4 linked regions of the Oryzias latipes genome follow. The protein of the gene in region 3 binds, or shares a complex with, the protein of the main gene of each other region. Links are inferred from orthologs where the notes say so. Each region holds a gene or a part of one and is shown on either strand. Other genes may lie near its edges.

Region 1 (3,851 bases), on a different chromosome or scaffold from region 3:
CAACAACAGCTTCTCAAAGATGAAAATCAGTTTGAAATCGATTAATATTTATTTAAACCCAGAGTTTTTTTCAATACAGCTATTTCAATTGTGACCAGAAAAATGCAGAGGGGAGATTTCAAGTTATTTTAAGTCACGCTTTTATGAGCGTAATTTATAAAAAAAATCAGGAGGCCAATTCACCAGCCACATTCTTTTTTCTATATAATTTAATCAAAACAAATCCACTGTCTGAATTCTGCTCTTTTTGCTGTTTGAAATGGCTTTATTTATCACAACTGAATCTTAGTTACACATCTCAACAGCAGTTGTGCTGTGTGATTGTTAAAAAAAATCTGTAATTTGCTTTGGACCAATTTAAAACTTGAAAGGGCATTATGAGAGTTTGCTTTTTCCAAATGCTCTATTATAAATAAATTGTTGTAAACATTTTAATTGTTGGTAACAAAGTGGCATTGTAATTTGCTGAAAACCTTCTGCACATTCACTATAACTCTTCAAGAGTTAAAGTTCCAACCGCCATGACGATGTTTTGTTCTTGCTTCCCCAGATTGGAGGCAGAGGAGCATTGTTGCGTCGAGTTGTATATAAAAGAATCAAGGATTGTTTGTTCAATCTGAGAACACGGTTTTGTTCTTCCTTTATATAATAGGACTTGTTTTAACAAAAATTGGCTGTAGATTTTTTCTTGTAAAATAAGACTTTGTTTGCATGCACCATAACAATTCTTTCTGTAATCATTGTAATTTCACATTTCTTTTGGTAGAAAATCTACAATTAAAAAAAATCCCAAAGTATTCTCGTCTTATGTGCTCTGCTGTTGAATAGTATAACATTATTTGTTTGCATGTTTTCATAAGTACATAAAGTGAAAGGTTGAGCGATTTAACTCAACGCCTCAAAAATTAGATGGCATCTCAACTCAGTGAATCGAATACTTTAAAGAAAAAACTTTATTTAAATAAAATTTTCATTGCCACATATGTGCACAATACACCAAGTCATTATTGTTGACATTTCTTAAACACTGAATATATGCACAGGCCATGTTCAAAGCATGTTCTTCCAGCTAAAATTTTTCCAGCGGTGCATAATTTAACAATTTCTCAATAAGATCCACATGGGAAAGCAGCATCCTCCGACAGCAGTACCTCTTCAGGCCCAGGGCATCAAGAGCATCACTAGAAAAGGGAAGATGGAAAAGTAATTTTAGTGCCAGATATTGCTTGCATAATTACAGAAAAAAAAAAAAAAAACATTTCTATAGTTAGTTTTAAATGTTGTATCCTCAAATGGTCTGAATTCAAACTAACATCTTGACTGACAGTGAAACAGGAGGAGTAGAGGTTGAATGAAGGCCTTTATTTAGTTTCAGAAAACTTGACCATATAGCATTACGGTGACACATTGTTGAACGAACGAAACATGAAGGTAAAATGAAAATGAAGCGCATCTGTCTCACCCTTCAGTGTATTCGGCCTGAAGAAGACCAAGGTAGGCTTCCCATTTGTTCCCCACGATCTTCCCACAAGTGAAACACCTCACCGGGATAATCATTTCTGGATGCTTGAAGAAGGAGCCAAACTAAGATATTCAATCCACAATAAATAATATAATCAACAATCAAATCAATAATAAAAAAAAATTAAATAAACAAAAACATGCCAATATGAATATGGTCATATCTGAGAAAGGGTAATTATGTTACACATGTTCCTACAACATAATTCCGCTTATGATGCTAGCAAATACTTCTAAAGGAAGGTACCAACACGTTGTTTAGGAACGTCGTAACTAAAATGAACGCAAATATCTTGCGCTACAATTTCTGTAAACGATATAATATAATTAAGTAACTTGTGTTTAAATTACTGAGATTTAAAAAACAAAAAGAAAGGCCAACGCTAGCCGCGTACATGCAGCTAGCCTAGCAGCACGCCGTCGTTCACATGCTTCCCAAACTCGGGTACAAATGAAATAAAAATATTAGTAACATTACGTTAAAAAAGGAAGTTGTTAACTCACCTTTATTGGTCAAGTTTGTCCAACACTTAAACAGCGTTATTTGTAATAATAGTAGAGACAAAGTTTAACCGTTGACGATATAAACATCACAGCTCAAATAACCATTTCCGGTGTAATACAGAGCTTCCGGATGTGATCCTACAAAATAAAACTAATTTAAATAAACCACTAAATTTAGGTAAACAATGCTGTTGAGTTTAACTGCTGTGTGTTCATTTTCTGTATGTAAAACACAACTTTAGGATTTAACAAAAAAATTATTTTATCGCGTAAAAGTATTTGTTACAAAAACTGACGCGTACGATTTGCATTTTTACTATATATATATATATATATATATATATATATATATATATATATATATATATATATATATATATATATATATATTTTTTTTTTTTTAAAGAAGGTAGCACATTGTCTAAATACAACCTGCATCGGCCCTCAAATATTGAGAAATCTGTTCCTCAAACCAAAATAAAATCACATCTCTCTGGGTGGGTCTGTAATAATACCAGTTAATCCCAGACGACATATGTGTCCAATGATTAAATGCTTTAATTTAAATCACCTACACATTCATGTTCTATGATAAGGAAACAACTACATTTATATGGTATATGTATTCACCAACATTTGTCTATATGCAAATATTACTTTTTGTTATTTGAGGATTTCTCTGCAATAATTTAGAAAACATTCTAATGTTGCCACAGTCATGTGAGTAAAATAAAATAAAAAATCCTTATTTGGGAATTGGCATAAAATGCAAATCCCAAAAAAATCCTCTTTTTCTAATCTTGACTGTAGATCTACAGCTTTCATTTTCAAGTTTAAATATTTTCATTTGGATAGCTTATTAGCCAATACTTTCTGTGAAACTGTTGCTGTTTATTAACTAATCTTTAACTGTCTTTCCTTATTTTCATTTGCAGAAAAAAAAAGTTGTGAACATAAATCAAATGTAAATCTGATCTAAGCCTTAGTCTCATCTAGATTTCTCAACATACCAGTATTCAAAAGTACCGGTACCCAATTCCTTTTTTATATTTGTTGGCAGTCCATGTTAAAACTCTCTTGAACTTACAAGATTCATTCATTCATTCATTTTCTTAACCGTTTTTCCCTTTCGGGGTCACGGGGCTGCCGGAGCCTATCTCGACCACTTGTGGACAGGTCGCCAGTCTGTCACAGGGTAGAACTTACAAGATCATAAATTTAACTGAAACTCACATTTCTACTAATATAATTGCTTTGATAATTCTTGTGCATTTAAAAAAATAATTCAGACTGGTTCACTTCTTTTATTGAGGCTGAAGTTTAAACTCTTCCTTTTTTACATTTAGACATTTGGGGACAAAAGCCGGGCTGCATTATGAAAATCAGTTAAAATATAGAATAATAAAATATCCTTCGTATCATTCTAACAGACACAATGATAACTATCATCATCATTGGCATCATGTATTGTCACCAACATCGCCATCGTCAACACCAAACATTATTACATCATCTATGCAATTTAACTTGCTACAGCACATGTGCTAAATGAATAGTCCTACCTGAATTATTGCATTTATACGCTGTTAAAATTATGAAAATAAGAATTTTTCCTTTTCTTTTTTTGGTACACTATATTGTACAATGTAAGGTGAAATTTACTTTGGTGCTACTATCTTCTTGGACATGGTAGGGGTTGGAAGGGGTGGCTGTGGTGAGTGTTTTATGATAATTTTCTGTCAGAACTGAGCGCAATATCGAAGTTCCTCTACAACTTAAATTATGTGTGTGTTTGTTACCACTGCCTTCCTTCTTCCTGTTTTCAT
Region 2 (4,861 bases), on a different chromosome or scaffold from region 3:
TGTGGCAAATAGATTCTGCGCCAGATTCTGCAGTTTTCCACCCAATCGGGTGATTTTGAGTCTCAGCTATCTTTTATTTTGAAAAATATATATTTTTTTTAAATTACCAGATCTTCTCGGCGTTAAACCAGTCCAGCAGCAAGTTTAACAGCGTAAGAAAAACTATTTTTGATGCCCTGGACGTACGCCCAGGTTCCAGCTGTTAAATGATTCTCTGATTTTGTTTGATCTCATTTACATATCTGCTATTAAATCAGTTGTTTTGGGCACTTGCTCGAGCACTTTTTTAAAAACATAAATAAAAGTTATTCCAAAAGCCTTTTTTCTGCTTTGAAAAACTGCTACAGACCATTAATGTTTTTTTTTTTTCCTTTCATTTTTTTTTTAGCCACGGATCATGGCGAACGCCACAGCTACCGTACCCCCCTCCCTCCCCGAGGCCATCCCCATGTCCCACGTTTCCCTGCAGGTACAGGAAGTCTACCCCTTCCACGACGGTTGGAACGTCGCCTGCTTCGTCATCCTCCTGCTCTTCATCCTCACCGTTCTGTCCCTGGCCGCTCTGGCCGTTCTCTACGAGTTACTGGACTGCGGCTGCTGCGCCAAAGGGAAAACGCGCCACCAGTTGCAGCAAGAAAGGTCGGGAAGCTGCAGCAATCTCATGACGAGAACATGCAAGGAGCTGGAGAGCCACACGGAGGTGGTATAGCAGCAGCACAGACAAAGGAAAATGGAAGAGTTTGGGGTTGGGATGCCCAATTTATTGCCAAAACAAGCACCCCTGATACCATAGACTGTCTATTTGCATGCATCCAATTCAGAGGCAAAGAAAAAAATGAATCAATGTTCCAGAGTATTCTGTACACAGAAACGTTTGCCGAGTTAGGGCTTTAAAGACTCATGTCATCTTTGTTTAGTTTTGTGTTTTTTTGCCGTTCTTCTATGGTAAACACACAGTCGTGAATTTGTAGACACAATAAAGGTTTTCGTTTGGCTTCCCACAAACCCGATAAAAGTTGATGGAAATCTTTTCTTTTGGGTTAAAAACATTGTGGTATGATAAAAAAGAATTGTTATAAATAAACATGATTCATTTAAATGGATGTTAAGGCGAGCCGAAAGTTGTAATTGTTTGTAGTGGATGTATAGAAATCAGCTGCCACTCTCATGTTACCAGGTGGAAAATCTGACATTTCTGAAACTTTTTTAACAGATGAAGACGTTTATTTTCCAAAAGCAACTAAATGAAGTGATAAAATCTAGCGTTGGACGGCTGTTGGTCAATGTGGTATGTTGGCATTTTCATGAAGACAAACATAAAAAGACTAAAGAAAATCAATAAAAATGAGATCTAACAAAAAGTTTGGTTAAAGAGTTTGAATTTTCTTTCTCTATATTTCATGATTCTTATGAATCAGTCCTTTCATCCAAAGAATTCTTTTAGGCTTTATTTATATTTACTATAAAAATGTTAGAAGTCATTTTTTGATCTGTGCACACCTTTAAAAAAAAGCAATGACAGCAGAATTTTGACCACTTTGCTTTTCGTAATTATTCAAATATTTGACTCAGAATAACCTATGAGTGACAGATGAATGAGTTTTGATTGCCTAGGTGTTACATCATCCATCCATTAAAAAACAACAACATTTAAACCAAACAAAAGAAAGAAAACATAATCCTTAAAAATAATCTGCCAGTTTCACTCAAAGACCCCCTCCGATCATATTTTGATCTATTGTGAAAGCGTTTCCATTGGTCTTTTACTTAGGAGAAGGTCATTTTTAGCTAAAAATTAAAAAAATCTGGGTCGTTTTTCTAGGACATAGTTTCTGCAGGGTGGCAGTAGTTCATTGGAATTTCACCTGAGTTGCGAGTGGGACCAGCGGCGCTGTAAGGAGCAACCCTACCCCCCCTTCCAGTCATCCATTACTGAGCTCTCTGCATATCCTCTCTCATAAGCTTACAGCCTCTCACACACCCAACCCAACATTGGTGAGCAAACTTAAGGTTTACGCCAGATGGCAGCCCAGGCGAGGAAAACAAAGACGTACATGGATCCATTTGTCTGCAAGTGGGTTTATCAGAATGGAGCGGAGCAGCTTGTGGCACGTCCAGGAGAAGCTCAGTAACCAGATATAAAGCATGACCTACCAGTGCTGTGTTTGGAGCCAGAGGAGCCTTCCTTGTCTAACTTGGGCTTCTTCTTCTTGTGGGATCCAGAGTCTGATGCAGCTGGTCTCTTCTCAACAGCCGGCGTGGAGAGAGCTCTTTTCTTAAACAGCTCCCTCTCGCGAAGCAGAGCTGGATCCATCCAGGCTGGTGGACAAAAGCATGTAAACACAGAAAAGGCTGGATAAAATGCAGTTTTACTAAGCTTCAAACGTTTAAATTAAATATAATTTATGAAATAAATATAATACTGAAACAGTGAGGTGCATCATCTCCATGCATATCTATTATACCTGGTATGTTTACCTGGTTCTTTTCTCAATCTAATCAGTGATGCAGCTGTTTTACTATTTTTTCTTCAAATATTAAGTAGAGCATAAGGATTATTATTAGTAACTAGATTTGATGTTAAAACATTGTCTTGACACGACAGGATTCTGTTCTTCAAAACTACGGTGTTCCATTTGTGCCAAAAATAATTGTGTTCGGTTCTTCTACTGACAATATGGGCCAAAGACATGGAATTACTACATTAACAGTGACCAAAGAAATACACTTAATACAGAAACAGTGGACTAAAAACTCAACTCAAAACATATTTAAACATATATATAACAGAAGTTCGCTGTTTGTCCGATTAGCTTCTTCTTCAGTTTATCGGGAAAAAAAAAACTTCATATAAGCAGCTAAAAGTCATCGAGATGAACCTTTAGAGTCCAGTTTCCCCAAAGAACCGAATCCCGTGACAGCATGACCCACATAACCGCTAATTAATGTTCCCGCATTGTCTAACACCTAATGTGATGCTAATCCTAGTGTTAGCATGTCAACGTTACCTGCTACTGTTGAGTTCTTCTTTCCAGAAAGTGGCGAATAAGTCCCGATAGACTAATTTATAAACTAAAAAGTGAAATAGAAAGACAATTTTAAGCTTAAGTAAACTCAAGCTTACTTTCTAATAAAAAAGTATTATTTTTGTATCCATCATGTAACTGTTTCGTTTAGTGTTCGAGTTGTCGGTTATCGTTATCGTATGTTATTCCTTGGGTGACGTCTTCCGCGTGCAAGCAAAAACCCGCAGCTGTGTAGCTCAACATCGCCACCTACTGGACTGGAGGACAGTCAACTTATTTCAGGCAAGAGAGCTATTTTGGTTAGGGATTCTGAAACTATAGCTAAAATAATGAGTGTTCTGTTTCACAGTTTTTAATTCTTGCCGGAACGTTTAAAAACAATTAAATAGTTTCAGCAAATGTTTCTCCCCCAACATTTTCAGTTTTTAAACTGAAAATTATTGGATATTATTATAACCAACAGTTTGTAATAAGACATTAAAAGTATTATTTCCAACACCTGACTGTAATATGTTCTGTTTTGCATTGTGGTGTGATTGCCATTTCGATTATAAACATAATCTTTACAAGTTTTCTTTGCCAAATTTTGTGCTTTGACCAATAAAGTTTAATCTCATTTCTTGTTAAAAGATGAAACACTTAAGTGAAATGTTAATAAAGTTCCAGGATTTATTTTTGAATAATATTTTTAATTTAAAGCCTTTTTTTTTCTTTTTACTGTAGAGGAGCCTACAGCACGTAGTTACAAAATACATTACGATAGCATACCTTTTGCAGTTCTAAAGGGGTGTAAAGCATTACTATGACATTAAAGTCATTACATACTTAGTAATGAGACGAGAACACATGAACAAAAAAACTCTGCTAAAAATATCTTTATAAACTCATGGTTCATCACTTTTAGCTTAGAAACAATAATTTAACTTTTGATTTCTTGAACAAATGTGTTTATCTTTTTTTTTTTTTTTTTCTTGAAGAAAAAAATGTATCTGATCAGTTATTTTTGACAAAGTGTGGTGATTGGAATCATTATTTAATAGACAGCTCCACTTTTCCTGAGGTAAACAGACCCCTACGGTTCTCCTGTCACTCTGTTATCCATTTAGGTAGATGACTCATAGTTTTATTTTAACAACAAAAAGCTGTGATTCTGCTTCCTGTACTTTCACTTAATGATTATTAAAGCTTATCGCCATTTGTCTTAGAGTGAAATGCTTGACAGTACCTTGTCACTTCCTCTACTTCTGTAGGTCTTACAAAGAACGCTATAAGTAATAATTGATTACGAGTCATAACTTTATAAGTAATAAAGTTATGTAACGCAGTGTAACTCTGACACAGTGACAGTTTGGAGGTAACAAACCCCAAACTGTAAACAGAAATAATACTAAAAATAATTTTACTTTCCCTTTATTATTACTTTATAAGTAATAAAGTCATGTAATGCAGTGTAACTCTGACACAGTGACAGTTTGGAGGTAACAAACCCCAAACTGTAAACAGAAATAATACTAAAAATAATTTTACTTTCCCTTTTTTTTCTCTGACTAGTAATCAATTTTATTAGCGAATAATGAGGGCATATACAAGGAATTTGGCTTCAGTGTCTTATTCTCTCATTTGAAAGGACAAAGCAAACAAGGATAAAGTATAAATAGGCGTAAAAAAGGAAAGAAAAACATGAAGATTACATTTAAACTGGTTTAAAAGTTCTCATGTTTGTGGTTTCATACTCTGTAACTGATTCTCCTTATTTGACCTCAAGTTCCCTTGTTGTTCACCTTTCGGCGTTTCCCTTCAGGGGGTGGCCACGGCGAATTAGCTTTCACTGATTT
Region 3 (4,948 bases):
CTGATCACAATCACCTCAACTCTGGTTCTGTTTTGATCCAGGGAGCTGCTTTTTTGTAGTGATGAGCTGTTTCTGTTTGTTAAACTGAACTTGTGCATGTTCTGGTGCACGTGTTGGTCCTCTCCACCTTTGTCACACATGACACTGGTCAGTTCATCGGGACTCTACAAGAAAAAAAACAGGAATCGATGTCTCAGATTTAAACTGCAGCCACGGAGGCTCAGGACAATCAGGTATACATTTTACACAAGTCAACTAAAGTGAAGGAGCAGGACAGCAACTCAGCAAACTAACCAGAAACAATAAAACTGTATCAGCTGTTTATATTTATTTTTCCTGAAGCATACCCTGATTCTCAACTGGACAGCTGTTAGTACTTGCGCGCATTTTCTCAGAAAATGATCTCTTTATAGTTTGATTAATTTCTTTAAAACTCTTGTCAAAGACCAGAAAACTGTCATCCTATGTTTTTATAAAGTATTCTACCAAATTTGAACTGTTGTATCCAGTAAGGCTTCAACTTACATCTCACATGGCTGTTAAATTGTTCTTTAAATGATAAAGAACGCTCTTGGTATCTGACATGTTCTTTTTGTTGATTTATTGAAGCAGAATGGTAAACGGCGTATACTTATTTAGCCCCTTAACTATCTTCTTGGAGCATTTTACAGTCACAGTTCCATTCACCCATGAACACACACACTGATTGTGGCTCAGCTACCAAACCATGTTGCCAACCTATAACCCCCAGAAGCAAGGTGGGGTTCAGTGTCTTAACCTTGGACACATGGGCGGGTAGGGTGGGAATTAAACCTGCAACCTCTTGATCAGGGGTTGACCGCTCTACTTCTGCACCACAACTGCCCTGTTAAGTTGCCAGCAGCATTTAGAAAAAAACAGTTCAACCTCCTTGGTCTAGTTTGGTCCTCCTGGGCCTCAGTAGCTCTCCATCATACCTATACCCCCCCCCCCCCCCCAATCTCTCTCTAAAGCCTTTTTAATAACTGCCCCCCTCATCTATTATCCACAGGAGATGCACAAGCAGGCAAGCTATTTGGCATAAAAGTAAACTCTTACAAAAACTCTTCATCTGCAGTGATGCCATAGAGGTAAATGACCTTTGAGTGACCTTTTGAGTCAACATGAATGCTAAGGTGATAGGCCATAGTAACAATTGTATTTTGTTGACTGATCCGGCTAAAAAAAAAAGTGTGTTGATGTCCAAAAACCAAGTTTATTTAACCCCCGCCAATATCATTGAGATTTTTTTTATTTAATTCTGGTCCAGCCCAGGCTTTCAAGCAGTTTTACACAGTTTAAGTCCTGGCTTGTGGGAGACTTAACTTTGGAAAAGAAACAAGTTTGTTTTTTTTTCTTTACATTTTTTATCTGTTTTAAATGATTCTGAGATCATACAAAAAAGCCACAAAGCTGAAGGGTGAAAGCCCCATGTGTTTGAATATGCATGATGTGATTCTTTAGGTTTTAAAAAAGGCTTAGTGACCTCGGCTAGGTAAGAAAGTAGCCTTGAGAGAGTAAACGTTTGGTGGCGCTGTAGAGGCATCTGTGGAGCTGGGTCAAAATCTTTTAAAAATGTATATTTTTTATCAGAGAACATGACTTGTGCAGGTTTTTTGCTATATCTTGTACATGTTGCACTGAAAAAAAACAAAAGATAATTTTCACACCAGCACCAATGAAATAAGCAAACCAAAAAGGTGATCAAATTGTAATTTCAGGTAGGAGAAGAGATATAGTTTACTATTGTGAATTATTTTTTCTAAGATAGTAAAATTTGCAACTTCCGTTTCAAAGGATGGAAATAAACTGAGCAGAAACGCACTGCTGCTACAAACCACCAGAGGGCGCACTATAGCTGCCTTACCAACAAATAAAAAAGATTTAGACCAATGAAAGCTCGCTTTGTTGTTACGTCACAACAACATGGCTGTCGACTAGCATCCGAGTTTGCTTCACTGATGTTGTAATGAATCTTAGTTTATTGTGACTTTGTTTTGAGATCCAGCAGCTCCCCACAGGTTCGGTCCGCGTGCCTGAGTTCTGTTTTATGTTTCCTTTGATCTTTTTTGCTTCCTCAGAATCGGCGAAGATTCAGAACCTGCTGTGATAAGATCAGAACCGGAGTAAGTAACTGGATTCAAACACAACAGGATCAGACTGAAATGTTGTTACTTTGCAATAATAATAACAATAATAATAATAACAAAACAATCGTATTAGTAATTTGTAATAATAAACAACAGTACATTACTTCTAAGTGGAGTATTTATTTTGGCACCAATTAAATGCCTCAAATTCTGACATACTGGATTGTTAACTTTGATGTTTTAAATGCCCCCCACGAGCTTGGGTGCAATTGATTAAATAAGGTATTAAAAACCTTATTTTAAATGTTTTTGTTGTTCATTTTTTCTGTATTTTATAGCAAGCAAGAGCAGAATATAAATGATAATGTAGGAGGAACGATACAAGATGATCACCTTTTCTCCAATATCTGCAGTGGGTTTTTATGAGATATCATAAAATCAAGATAATTTACAGACAATTAAGGCCTAGTCTGTTAGAATCTGTATGTTCCCTTAAGAGAACACACAATATCTCCACATTTGACTAAAGGTTTTGCATTTCTGTTATAGTTTGACACAAAAAAGCAATTCAACATCTTTATATTTTCTTATGTGTCTGAGGAACATTTTGGGCACATAATCAAATCTGAGGAGTTATCGTCCTGTGTCTGACAGAACTATTCAGTCTGCCAGAATGTAACTGTTTGAATGTCTCATGTGGTACAAGTATTTCACAGAACAACAAACTTGGCAAAACCTAATTTGCATATCTGTCCGTCTATCTGGTGACATGCCAATCAAATGATCCATCCGTCTGTGGTCTTGGTGTCTTGTTGCAGGGATGAAGCTGCGTGTCCAGCTGCAGTGCAAAAACCTGCACGAGTACCTGAGAGAGCTGGGCCCGGACGTCCTGGACCGCCTTTACAATCACCCAGCTACCTGCCTGGCTGTGTGCAGGTACCAGCTCCATATCCAAAAGACGGCGTCTCTCTTGAGCACATTAAAATTCCTGCTGGAATGCATGATATTTCTAAACATTTCGGACTACCTCCTGTTTGCAGTTTGTAGCGCTATGCCTGATAAGGCTAGAAGATGCATAAAAAGAGAATAAAAGTTACCTACCACATCTGTATTTTATAAACATAAGTTTCAAATCCACCAAATGCCAAGATTGAACTTTACATTCTCATAAAAAAGCAATACCTAACCTCCTTGACATTTTACTTTTATTATAAAATTTTACATTATATATAATCAGGGCTCTAGATTACCACCTGCCCAGAAAACCAATTTGACTAACCACTTAAAAAGGTGAGGCATTGTTCTGCATCTCTGACAGGGTGGGTCAAAGTCACAACTATGACTTTTAAGTCTCTGCCTCACTCCACACTTAGCTTCAACAAACACCCATCTCAAATTGGTTCAAACATTTAATTCTGACTTTTTTTGCGCAGAGTTAAGTCACATGAGCCGCAACACAAATGACCATGACTAGAAATAAACATTAGAAATTTGGTGCTTTAAAGAAAGGAATGTGTTTATAAAAAGGTTCAGAGATCAGAAGTGTCTTTTGTTAAGATTCAGATTCAGATTCAGAGGGATTTTTATTGCCATGTCAGTGAACGGAACACAACAGTTTCACAGACTAGGAATTTGCTGCAGTGCCAATGTGTCACATACAACACTTAAGAATAATAATAAAATAAACAGTAATGAGCCAAAAACATAGACACAGTGATCAGAACAAGTAAAAAGAAATACAATAGTGCAACAGAGGTGCATTACATTTCGGTATATTATACAACCTGACATAAGAATACACTTTTAATTAGTGTTTTCAAGAGAAAATTATCATCAACTGAAACTTTATAAAAAATGGAATAAATGTGTTTCTTTCAAATACATAACTTATTTTTCCAGAGAAATGTTTGGCTAGTAGAAATCTAACTTGGCTGGTAGACTAGTTACTGGGGACCCCATCTAGTAACCAAAAAAGGTCATTTAGGGCCATGATATATAATAAAATTAAGGATAGTCTGAATATTTACCACAGGGTGATCTCATCTGCTTTGTGTTGGCCCTTTCTCTGCAGAGAGCTCCCCTTGCTGGCTAAGAACTATGTGATGCGGATGCTGTTTTTGGAGCAGCCCCTCCCTCAAGCAGCTGTCGCCCTGTGGGTGAGGAAGGATGGACAGAGGTGAGGCTCCCATGTTCTCCCTGATCTACAATTTTGAACGGTCAGGAGCACAAAAGCTGCTTTTAGGAAGCTGCTGTTGCAGCGCCTCCTGCTGGCGCTTTAAGTGCTCAGCAGCCATCACTGCTGTGGTTCAACGAGAGCAAACTGAGCAAACCGACAGAACCAGGGGGATATTCCAGGAAGCATGTTTAAACTAGCCAGACTTTAAGCCTGAACTCTGGCTGAAATCCGCCTAAACTTGCTTACTCTGGGTATGTCGGTTCCAAAAGACCGGATATGAGTAAGTGTAATTACGCTCGACTTGGTAACCCTGGGTTAATGCTCGTGCACAGGAGGTACATAAAGACATTCTCAATAGATGGCCGATTTCTGGAGTCACCATGGAAACGCGTGGAGAAAAAAAAAGCGGTACACTTGAGACGGAAGTGAGACGGAGTCTGAGATTTTAATGACGGCGGATAGAAATTATAAGTCCATCAAAAAAGTAACACGGCTGCATCAGCAAAAAAAAGAGTTTCTGCTTGGAGAAAAATAACAAAGTTTCTGATCTTGTTTCCATTTTCCTTGTGACGCATATTTATATATAATCTTAAATAAATTTCTTCTATTAGTAACAAATAAATTAGTTAAATGTATTCAACCTAATTTCTTGCGTCTATAAAAC
Region 4 (5,070 bases), on a different chromosome or scaffold from region 3:
CATCCACCCGGTAAATGTTCAGTTTTTCTCCCCTTATTGTGCAATCACATTGCCAAAGAATGATTTCAAGACCTATTTCATCACTACATGTAAATATCAACGTTGTCTAATACCGTGGCAAAAAAATATATAAATGTTGTTTTATTTTGTTTTCCATTTTCTGAACAACTACAATGATGTTTATGTGATGTATTGTCTTCCAGTTGGTTGCAATAATAAAAAAAATACAAGTTGCAGAAAAGATTCTTGCCTGTTTCTTATTTGCTGGTTTTTCATGAAAATCCATCTAATTGAAGCACTTTCCTCTCAAAGTCTGAAGTTAAATATAGTTGAGGATTACTAGTAAGCATAAATCCCTCCCTTAGCAGCATCGTTTAAACTTGAAACGCCATTTACTGGCAGTGTTAGCTTTAATTCACTCTCAAACCTGACCTCAATCATTAACCCCGCACATTCTCATCAACAAGAGGTCTTATCATAACCATGCTTCCTCTCCCAGATAATTAGTCATTTACTTCGTCTAATCATTTAAGTTCAATACTTCTGATTAACTACCCCCCACCCCTTCAGGGAGGGACGTAAAAGAGTTAAGTGCACCAAAGAGTTCCTCAATGTCTTATCAGTCTGAGTGGTGCCATTTTGGAGCCGTGTGGCGGTGGAAGCCCATTCATAATTGAAGTAGAGACCGGCTTAATCTTGAGCCAGTGGCTCCCTGTGCAGCACGCTCCCATCACAACACAACTGGAGCTTGCAGCTCCTCTGTTGCTATGCAACTACAGCAAAGAAGGGGGAGTAGGGAGTGGGGGGGGGGGGGGGGGTAAAGTGTGCATTCTCCAGATCTTTAGAGGGCATCATGCTTCTCTAATGTTACACCGGAGTGAAGCTCAAAGACAGCAATGCCCTAGCCTGCATATATGATCACATCCCAAACATTCATAGCATGGATCACTCGCTTGCTTTTTGATCACGTTGAACTTTGCTTCCCCTGTAATTATAGAAGCATGAGAGGGTGATCTGCAGGGTCAGATCACCCTCTCTCTCTTTTTTTTACATCTTCTTTAGATAATTTCAGTAAACACAGTTTTCAGAAAACACTGAATTGTTTGTGGATTGATGCAAACAGTCTTCCCTAGTCTATATCATCTATATCCACAGAGTGGCCAGGGAAGCAAGTTTCCATGGAGACTGAAGTGGAGTTAACAATGTCTACACGAAATTATTGCAAAGCTTTTTTTTAAGGATTTTCCCTTTGGTTGTGTATTTTTGGATCAAGTGAATATGATCTTAAATACTTCTTCAAATGTGCACAGATCTTCTTAATTAAAGATCACATATAGCACGCTGCATGTGAAAAATATGCCCGTCTCAAAGCTCCAGTGAAACACAGGTTATTTTCATGTGATGTTGTCTTATCGCCCTCTTGTGGCTGTAGAACGATACTACAAGGAACATAGAAATAAATCGGGCTTTTGGATTCAGATTTGAACCTTTTCGTTATAAAATAAAAGTAATGAATACAACACAGAATTTACTATACAGGAAAAATCTCGATTTAGCTGAAAAAGTTAAATCAATTAAAACTTGTAACCCTCTATTTGTAAACATTCTCAACACAATACAAACTCACAAACAAAAACAATGTAATTGTAATCATGGTTAACAATTGGATAATTTGTCCAACAAATCTAAAAAGCTAAGTATCCAATCGCATTGTGAAATTTACAATTTAAACTACATTTCCCAGCACGACGTCAGTGATTAGTCATCGTTTTTTGTGGCAAATCTCGCGCTATGTGCCTTTTGACCCTGCCCTATGTCTCGCGCACTCGCAGCTCCATCGCTCAGTATATAAAGCAGGACAACGACGAAAGGAGGACGGCTGGGGAGTCGCAGCCCGGGATTGTAAATAAGACCGTTAAAACTGTGTTTTATTTACAAAAGTAATGCCGGCTGTTTTAAAGTACCTTTCCCAGTTGTTTTAAGTCTTTTTTCTTAATTTTTGGCACTGTTTCTCGCCTATTTCCGTGTGGTTTTTACACTACGCGTATAATGGCGAGCTCGGCAAACTCGAACCCAGTGGTAAGGATCAATCTCTCAGGACTGTCAACGGGGGAAAATGGGGGTAAAGTTGATGGAAAAACGTGTCAACGATCTGTTTTTTTTTTTAATTTATTTTTTTTATTCATTACAGTAAAAATGAGTTTTACCAACACCGTTATGTCCATTCAAAGGAATACTCACGGTCATTTTTTTTATACCAGTTTTCGAAACTCAATGAAAAAAGAGCTTATAGAACTGATTACTTTTGTAGGACCCGAATCTCTTTAAATATTTAAATTAAATGTGATCAAAAATAAATTTTAAAGTTAAAAGTTGCCTGTTTATACGGTATTAGTTGTTAACGTAAGTGCTTCCGAAAACCTTCTGGACATTTTTTTAAAGCTAAATTGAGTTGAAATCCGCATTGAATGCGTTAGCTAACTAGTTAAGTTAGGGGTGCTCATTTTTGTTTACACGGGGGAAAATGTCATACTTATTGTCGCATAACTGTTGGAGGGGAGGGAAACTGATGTACGCAAAGCACATATGCACCATCCACTGCGACTGAATTTAGCTAAAAAAATTTTATTAAAAGCTTGGCGTCTTGAACGCTCTGTCAACTGCTTCTTCTTCATTGTCCTCCATTCCACGACCAGAGGGCAGGAGAGCCGTCCCAAATCACCCTCAACGCAACAAATGTCCCGCTCCAGTCAAAAATGTTTAGTCAAAACGGATCCTTTCATGAGATAAACCACCGAAACCGTCATCTTCAGTCCGCCATATCTTGCTAGTCGAGGAGGGAAAAGAGGCGCGCGCGCGCTTGCCGCTCTGTAAAATGGCTTCCTCGTCTCCTCTCTCGGTTCTGGCCCTCCTCCTTTCTGCTGCCTGGTTTTATACCGCCATATTGGCCGTCTAATATAGACTGCCCGGGATGGGACGGTGCTACACGACGCTACGTCACCGGTTCTTCACATAAACAGCAGACTGCGCTTTAAATAGTGCCGGAGCTGACGGGGAGGAGAGCAGAGAGACGGACATTCGGTGTCCCGCTTCTCGTTCTGCGTAGAAGCCAGAATGTTGTCCGTGACAGTTCCCCGCGCGTGCAGCTCTGTCTCGAGGGACGCGTTTAGTCCTGCTGACAAATGGATCAGTGCAGATTATTATATATGGGTTTGGATAATCTATCCATATACACAAGATGTGACCGTTTAAACTTAACACCTCTTTTATGAGTGTTTTCCTACATTTATTGTAAACATTTATATATGTTGAAACCACCACCAATAAATTGTGTATTTGCTCTGTTTTGTCATCATAGCCTAAATTATACAAGTCTGTTATTGAGGATGTGATCAATGAGGTGCGGGAGCTGTTCCTGGATGAAGGGGTGGACGAGCAAGTTCTTCTGGAGCTGAAAACGGTAATCCGTCTCATTTTACTGAGAGAAGGTTATAACCCCCCCCCCTCACACACACACACACACATGCAGCTCCGTGTTTGGTCAGATTCATCTGGAGTCTTGTCTTTCAGCTGTGGGAGAACAAGCTGCTGCAGTCAAAGGCGGTGGAGGGCTTCCACACCGAGGAGCAGGCGGCCCTGCAGACCGCTCAGCAGCAGCACCCGCACTCCCAACAGGCCCAGCAGGTGGCCCAGGCCGCGCCGGCCCAGCAGGTTATCCAGATTCCCTCGCAGCAACAAGGCGAGTCCGCACGTTGACATACAAACGTCGCCTGGACGTGTGTTGTTTTTTTTTTTTTTCAACCTGAAATAATGTGTTTTATTCTCAACAGCTCCCCAGCAGCAGGTCATAGTTCAGGACTCTAAAATGATACAGCACATGAATTCAACGGGAATGGTGAGTAGCATCTTACAAGCTGAAAACTGCACCGCCACACTTGAGAACCAAAAATTCTCCCAAACGTCCCGTTTTGTCATCGCACAAATCCACCCGGGGAATATCTGGGATAGTATCAAGGAAGCGACGGTTAGGAAAACTAGCCGGGCTGTGGGTTTTGGGAGAGGACTTTTTTTCTCAACAAGGACCTGGAGAACAAAACCGAGAAAGGGAAAAGCTTTCTTGTGGGGAGGCCATCTGTCTTTTTGAGCTTGAAACCTAGCCGCCGCTATAGCTTTTCCTTAAGTGATGGACCATGTTTGAAACCTTTAAGGCTTAAATGAAAAGAAAAAAGAAGATTTTTTCTTTTTTTATCACCTAGAAAATCCACCTTTTTGTGCTCTGGTATAATTGGAGCGGCTTTCTGTGTTTCCTCCTGCAGACCGCAGCAGCCACTGCAGCAACCCTTGCTTTGCCCACAGGGGTCACCCCCTACCAACAGCTCATCACAAGCCAAGGTAAAGCTCTCACCGTTCCTTTGGACTTTAGCGTGGTTGGATCTCAAAACGTTTTTTTGTTTTCCTGTTGATGCAGGTCAGCTCCTGCAGGTGGTCCGGGCTCCCAACGGGACTCAGTACATCATCCAGCCTCAGCAGCAGATCGTCCTGCAGAATCAGATGCAGCCTGGCGGCGTGCAGGCCCCCATTATACAGCAGGTACAGTCCATGTGTGAGGTCATCCTTTTGAGCATGAAACCAGTCTGGGAATTGATTTCTGAAAACTTGGAGTCCTTTTCTTGCAAACGTGCAGGTTTTAGCTCCTCTGCAGGGTGGACTGCCCCAGCAAGCAGGAGTCATCATTCAGCCGCAGCAGATCGTTTTGGCTCCAGGGAATAAAGTTCAAGGGACCACACAGGTCAGAGCACCAATTAATGTTTTCCCAATTATTATTTTTTTTGTGGGATGTTGCTCTAGGTTTACGTAATGACTCTGCTCTCATCTCTGGCTGCCGCCAGGTGATGCAAGCAGCAGCGATGGCGCCGCAGCCCGGCCAGGCAGCAGCAGCTCAGGTCCAGCAGGGGGCAGCTGTGGCCGCTGCTCAGGCCCCAGCCCAGCCGGCAGCCCCGCAGCAGCAGCCTCAGGCCCAACCGCAGGCGCAGCAGCCCGCCATGATGGTGCAGCTGGATGGAACTGGAG

The links. The genes of interacting proteins can lie anywhere in the genome.
Region 1: gtf2h4 (region 3) and polr2l share a complex: the UniProt entries of both Homo sapiens proteins name them as parts of the TBP-based Pol II pre-initiation complex. The link is inferred for Oryzias latipes from reciprocal best matches to the Homo sapiens genes GTF2H4 and POLR2L.
Region 2: gtf2h4 (region 3) and gtf2e2 share a complex: the UniProt entries of both Homo sapiens proteins name them as parts of the TBP-based Pol II pre-initiation complex. The link is inferred for Oryzias latipes from reciprocal best matches to the Homo sapiens genes GTF2H4 and GTF2E2.
Region 4: gtf2h4 (region 3) and gtf2a1 share a complex: the UniProt entries of both Homo sapiens proteins name them as parts of the TBP-based Pol II pre-initiation complex. The link is inferred for Oryzias latipes from reciprocal best matches to the Homo sapiens genes GTF2H4 and GTF2A1.

The regions. Positions count from the first base shown.
Region 1 is NC_019861.2:18,860,323-18,864,173, forward strand, and holds polr2l (DNA-directed RNA polymerases I, II, and III subunit RPABC5), read right to left. Parts: upstream 2,158-3,851; 5' UTR 2,026-2,157; intron 1,585-2,025; exon of another isoform or gene 1,567-1,584; 5' UTR 1,558-1,566; coding exon 1,463-1,557; intron 1,182-1,462; coding exon 1,070-1,181; 3' UTR 931-1,069; downstream 1-930. UniProt on the Homo sapiens protein: DNA-dependent RNA polymerase catalyzes the transcription of DNA into RNA using the four ribonucleoside triphosphates as substrates.
Region 2 is NC_019859.2:11,936,783-11,941,643, reverse strand, and holds the start of gtf2e2 (transcription initiation factor IIE subunit beta), read right to left. Parts: upstream 3,231-4,861; 5' UTR 3,009-3,230; intron 2,320-3,008; 5' UTR 2,315-2,319; coding exon 2,155-2,314; intron 1,361-2,154; exon of another isoform or gene 710-1,360; coding exon of another isoform or gene 398-709; exon of another isoform or gene 389-397; intron 1-388. Other genes in the region: smim18 (small integral membrane protein 18), read left to right, coding at 398-709. UniProt on the Homo sapiens protein: Recruits TFIIH to the initiation complex and stimulates the RNA polymerase II C-terminal domain kinase and DNA-dependent ATPase activities of TFIIH. Both TFIIH and TFIIE are required for promoter clearance by RNA polymerase.
Region 3 is NC_019869.2:21,552,046-21,556,993, forward strand, and holds the start of gtf2h4 (general transcription factor IIH subunit 4), read left to right. Parts: upstream 1-1,624; 5' UTR 1,625-1,981; intron 1,982-2,099; 5' UTR 2,100-2,144; intron 2,145-2,926; 5' UTR 2,927-2,928; coding exon 2,929-3,044; intron 3,045-4,179; coding exon 4,180-4,284; intron 4,285-4,948. UniProt on the Homo sapiens protein: Component of the general transcription and DNA repair factor IIH (TFIIH) core complex, which is involved in general and transcription-coupled nucleotide excision repair (NER) of damaged DNA and, when complexed to CAK, in RNA transcription by RNA polymerase II.
Region 4 is NC_019882.2:4,170,603-4,175,672, reverse strand, and holds the start of gtf2a1 (transcription initiation factor IIA subunit 1), read left to right. Parts: upstream 1-1,840; 5' UTR 1,841-2,049; coding exon 2,050-2,079; exon of another isoform or gene 2,080-2,116; coding exon of another isoform or gene 2,117-2,122; intron 2,123-3,358; coding exon 3,359-3,460; intron 3,461-3,570; coding exon 3,571-3,739; intron 3,740-3,830; coding exon 3,831-3,895; intron 3,896-4,316; coding exon 4,317-4,392; intron 4,393-4,468; coding exon 4,469-4,590; intron 4,591-4,684; coding exon 4,685-4,789; intron 4,790-4,889; coding exon 4,890-5,070. UniProt on the Homo sapiens protein: TFIIA is a component of the transcription machinery of RNA polymerase II and plays an important role in transcriptional activation. TFIIA in a complex with TBP mediates transcriptional activity.